Callithrix jacchus: one gene and its partner. The protein of the gene in region 2 interacts with the protein of the main gene of each other region in a biochemical or structural test. Links are inferred from orthologs where the notes say so. Each region holds a gene or a part of one and is shown on either strand. Other genes may lie near its edges.

Region 1 (2,317 bases), on a different chromosome or scaffold from region 2:
CCCACTTCAGTTTTAGGTGTGACTAGGGAAGGGAGCAGGCGTCAGAAAGGACACCTAAGAAAGGCTCTAAGGCTGGCCTTTTTCTCCATTAGGTAGTTTTGCTGTCAGCTACAATGCCTTCTGACGTGCTTGAGGTGACCAAGAAGTTCATGAGGGACCCCATTCGGATTCTTGTCAAGAAGGAAGAGTTGACCTTGGAGGGTATCCGCCAATTCTACATCAATGTGGAACGAGAGGTGGGGCCCAGTGCAGGAGGCGGGTCTGGTAGTGAGTTGTTGGGTATAGCCCCTGACTGATTTTGTCCCCACACCTCCAGGAATGGAAGCTGGACACACTGTGTGACTTGTATGAAACCCTGACCATCACCCAGGCAGTCATCTTCATCAACACCCGAAGGAAGGTGGACTGGCTCACTGAGAAGATGCATGCTCGAGATTTCACTGTCTCTGCCATGGTGTGTTTGCTTGTTGCCAGCCCTTTGTGGGTCTGCCCATCAGAAGTGTCCTCCTCCAAGCCAGTGTTCCCAAAACCCATGTACCTGCCTGGCCTGTTAGATGCTTATTTTCTCTTCTAGCATGGAGATATGGACCAAAAGGAACGAGATGTAATCATGAGGGAATTTCGTTCTGGCTCTAGCAGAGTTTTGATTACCACAGACCTACTGGTGAGTAGAGGGAATTTACTGGAAAGGCAAAAGGGAGGATCCAAGGTGATTCCCTCTCCAAGGGGACTTCCAGTGCCCCTCTCAGGAAAGTAGCAACTTGGAATAGAATCTGGCATGCCTAAGGTCTTTGGGGGAACAGGGATGCTTATTTCCTCTGCTTTCCTTGGCTGCCTACATGGATATCCATGTGTCATCCCTTTGGGATAGGTTCTCATGCACATGCTGAAGAGTTGTCTCTCTTGATGTAGGCCAGAGGCATTGATGTGCAGCAGGTTTCTTTAGTCATCAACTATGACCTTCCCACCAACAGGGAAAACTATATCCACAGGTAAGTGTACATCTGGAACACTGCCCCACCCCCCTCATGCCTGGCCTTCACTGGACTAAAGCTCCTCATGTTCCTCATCCCCTTCCCTTGTTTTCCAGAATCGGTCGAGGTGGACGGTTTGGCCGTAAGGGTGTGGCTATTAACATGGTGACAGAAGAAGACAAGCGGACTCTTCGAGACATAGAGACCTTCTACAACACCTCCATTGAGGAAATGCCCCTCAATGTTGCTGACCTCATCTGAGGGGCTGTCCTGCCACCTAACCCCAACCAGAGTTCAGTCTTCGGGGGGGCTGAGGAGTAGCAGGCGGGGGGAGGGAAGGGAGCCAAGGGATGGACATCTTGTCATTTTTTTCTTTGAATAAATGTCACTTTTTGAGGCAAAAGAAGGAACCGTGAACATTTTAGACACCCTTTTCTTTGGGGTAGGCTCTTGCCCCAGGCGCCGGCTCTTCTCCCAAAAAACACTAATCCATTTCCCTAACCTAGTAACCTCCAGATCCCAGAGGCTCTCCTCACCTCAGCTGAGCTCCTTTGAAAGTGATTCAAGGGACTGTGTCATTCAGCCTCATTTGCTGGACCAAATCTGGAGGAAGAACCCTGAAAACCCCTCAGCAAGATTGCCCAGGGGATTGTCCCCAGGTGGGGGGAAGCAGGGGAGAGAAAATGGTAGCCATTTTTACATTGTTTTGTATAGTATTTATTGATTCAGGAAACAAACAAAATTCTGAATAAAATGACTTGGAAACTGCCTGTTTGGGCTTCTCATTTCTTACCTCCCCTACCCCCTTCCACCTGCTATTGGGTGCATCTCCCTCCCCCCTTTACTAGCAGATTGTTGCTTTTCTTGCCACCATCTGAGCATTCCCAAACGCTGAACAACTGTTCTTAGCACTGAGAATGGTGATGGCAGGAGTGCTGCCCCTCTGTAAAGGGCTGGGTGTGAACATCACAAGCCCCTCATGTGCCTCAGTCAAAAGGAAGAACTAGATGGGCCACCCATAAGGTCAAGGAGAAAGGGGAGTGGAAACACTGACTTCCCCACTGAGGGAGGGGCTGTTACCTTAGACGTCTGCCCCAACGGCCAAGCAAGTTTTGCTGAGAGGAATGGGTCCCTGCAGGTCAACAGCCTCAGGGTTTTGTATCCACGTGACACTGTTGACTTTGCCCTGATTGCTCCCGCTTAAGTGGGGGCCAACAGTCCCCTAACAATTTCGAAAACTAATGACTAAGAGATGGGTGGCTGGAGCTGAGGTCCCTGAGTCAGGCTGTGGGTGGGATCATCTCCTGTATGGGAAGTGAGACTTCTCATTTCCTCCTTTCCAA
Region 2 (2,821 bases):
ATTATTTGGGTGGTTATGTGACTGATGCCTGCCCTGCACTAGACTGTAGGAATGGAAGGGCTGTGCCTGTTGGTACTTCGATAGCATCCTTAACGCCTGGCAGGGACCTAGTAGGCTTTCAGTAAATATTTGTTGGCTTAATGTGGTAGGGCCGTTGGCTCCTTGGAGAGAGAGAGAGCGTTGCTAAGTTGGGTTGGTCTTGTGTTTCCCAGGGTCCTAAAAAGGTGGGGACGCTGTGGCGAGAAGCTGGGCTTAGCTGGAAGGAATTTCTACCCGAAGGCCAGGACATTGGTGCATTCGTCGCTGAACAGGTTTGGGGCTGGCAGTGGGTTAATTCTAGCCTTTGAGGCTGGCCAGACTTTCTTGTCTGACACTAACAACCTTACCTCTTACCTGTGGGTCTTTTCCATCGCAGAAGGTAGAGTATACCCTGGGCGAGGAGTCAGAAGCCCCTGGCCAGAGGGCACTCCCCTTTGAGGAGCTGAGCAGACAGCTAGAGAAGCTGCTGAAGGAAGGCAGCAGTAACCAGCGGGTGTTGGACTGGATAGAGGTAGGTTTCTCCTGGATGTCGATAAAGGAGACGAAGTTCTTAGGGTGGGGCGGGGGCAGCAGGGATGAAGACGAAGGGCGCAATTCAGAACTGGGGGTTCATTTGTTTCTCTCATACAGGTCAACCTGAGTGAGCAGCAGATAGCATCCAACACGCTAGTTCGAGCCCTCATGACGGCTGTCTGCTATTCTGCAATTATTTGTAAGAAGAACCAGGGAGATGGGGGGCAAGGGTGGACCTGACAGGTGGAGGGAGGTGGGTGTCAGTCTTGGCCTCCTCTTCCAAACAGGGTGAGGGTTCACGGCTCCACTCATTCCTGTCTTCCTGTAGTTGAGACTCCCCTCCGAGTGGACGTTGCAGTGCTGAAAGCGCGAGCGAAGCTGCTGCAGAAATACCTGTGTGACGAGCAGAAGGAGCTACAGGCACTCTACGCCCTCCAGGCCCTTGTAGTGACCTTAGAACAGCCTCCCAGTAAGAGCCAGGCCACGGGCACGGGGTGGGGTGGAGGGACTGTCAGATAGCAGGGCATAGTCATGGACCTTCATGGAAGGGTCTCAACCCAAGAAAGGTCGGAGTCATCGCGGAGTAAAGTGCCCTCAGGGTTTCATTCCTTCTGCCTGCGTTTGTGGTGGTGTCTCCAAGTGGAAGGAGTTCCACAGCCTTGAAGGGTCATCGACTGCCTGTTTTGTGCCTAGCCATGTGTTTGATGCCAGCAGTGGAGGTGATAAATGACAGCGTCTTCCCGGTACTGTGCCCCTCCGGCCTGGCACAGGGCTGAAATTCTTCGCTTACCTTGCGTCATGTAGTCCTCACAGATGTTTAGGGTGGATGGTATTATCCCTGTTTTCCACACTAGGAGGCCAAGGTCTAGGTGACGGTGACTCAGGCTGTGCGTCCAGCACATAGGTGTGTGTCAGGGTACCGGCATGCTCACAGAGGAAGCTGAGTAGCTTCCTGTGCCGGCATGGAGGTGGCACTGACGTGAGCACTGAGCCTGGAAGACGTGTGCTCTCGGAGGGAGGACACCTGGCCTGAGGGGTCATGAGTGGGAATTTGCTCCACAACAAATGGGAGGGGAGGGGGAGAATGCTTGAAACAGGCACCATGTGTGTGCTTTCTACCTAAGGTAGGAAGAACTTGACACAGGGGAAGAGAACTATTGAAGAGAGGGCAGTGTGGGAGAGCATAGCCACCAGTCATGAGTGAGGCAAGATGGGGCTGAAAGGGATGCGGGCCTGACCATCCAGGGCTGGTGTAAGCCTTGCCAGAGTTCGGGCTTTGGCCTAAGGGCAAGAATTTTCTTTTTTTTTCTTTTTTTTGTTTTTTGAGATGGAGTCTTGCTCTGTCACCCAGGCTGTAGTGCAGTGGCGTAATCTTGGCTCACTATAATCTCCACCTCCCGGGCACAAGCAATTCTCCTGCCTTAGCCTCCCAAACAGCTGGGACTACAGGAGCCTGCCACTATGCCTGGCTAATTTTTATATTTTTAGTAGGGATGGTGTTTCACCACGTTGGCCAGGCTGATCTCAAACTCCTGACCTCGTGATCCACCCACCTTGGCCTCCCAAAGTGCTGGGACTACAGGCATGAGCCACCATGCCTGGCTGCCCTTGTGGGATTTTAAGCAAGGCATAAAGGAATTGGACTTTAGTTTTTAGATCATCCTGGCCATAGAGGGAAGATGATTTGAATGGGGTGAGGGAATGTGGCACTGTTAGCACCAGAGGCTCAGCCTTGCTGGTGACAGTGGAGAAGAGAGGGCAGATCAGGAGATACTTAGGAAATGGAGTTGGCAGCTTTTAGTTACACTGGCCTGAGTAGGGGCCATGAGAGATTAGAAGTCATGGATGACTCGCAGGATGGTTTTAAGTCATGGTGGGTTTAAAGAACAGAGTGTGGTGTCATTTGCTGTGGTAGGGAATGCTGGATCAAGTTGAGTTGTGGTCCCTGAGTAAGGGAATCAAGATGTCAGCTCGACAGCTGGAGTATCTGACCTTTTAGAAAAGAAGAGGTCAGGGCAGGAGGCAGCTTTGTGAGTTGCAGGCACAGGGTAACTCGTGGGAGTCAGAGGAGGTTGCGGGCTTGCCTGAGGGGGAGGGACAAGGGCCTGAGATACAGCCCTGAGGAGGTGGAGCGGACACACTGGCAGGGATCAAAGGAGGACAGGCCCCTATGAATCAAGGACAGAAATTTGAGGAGAGGGATGTGGCTGATGATGCTAGATGATGCTGTGAGTGTTGGCAGGAGCAGGCCTAGAAATGAAGGGCTTCT

Evidence for each region.
Region 1: the proteins of EIF4G1 (region 2) and EIF4A1 form a complex in vitro, tested with the Homo sapiens proteins (3 studies listed by IntAct, with this or other methods). The link is inferred for Callithrix jacchus from reciprocal best matches to the Homo sapiens genes EIF4G1 and EIF4A1.

Annotation. Positions count from the first base shown.
Region 1 is NC_133506.1:74,070,913-74,073,229, forward strand, and holds the end of EIF4A1 (eukaryotic initiation factor 4A-I), read left to right. Parts: intron 1-92; coding exon 93-236; intron 237-316; coding exon 317-454; intron 455-574; coding exon 575-664; intron 665-702; exon of another isoform or gene 703-843; intron 844-912; coding exon 913-992; intron 993-1,090; coding exon 1,091-1,235; 3' UTR 1,236-1,744; downstream 1,745-2,317. UniProt on the Homo sapiens protein: ATP-dependent RNA helicase which is a subunit of the eIF4F complex involved in cap recognition and is required for mRNA binding to ribosome.
Region 2 is NC_133516.1:13,309,716-13,312,536, forward strand, and holds part of EIF4G1 (eukaryotic translation initiation factor 4 gamma 1), read left to right. Parts: intron 1-212; coding exon 213-311; intron 312-415; coding exon 416-550; intron 551-669; coding exon 670-751; intron 752-880; coding exon 881-1,021; intron 1,022-2,821.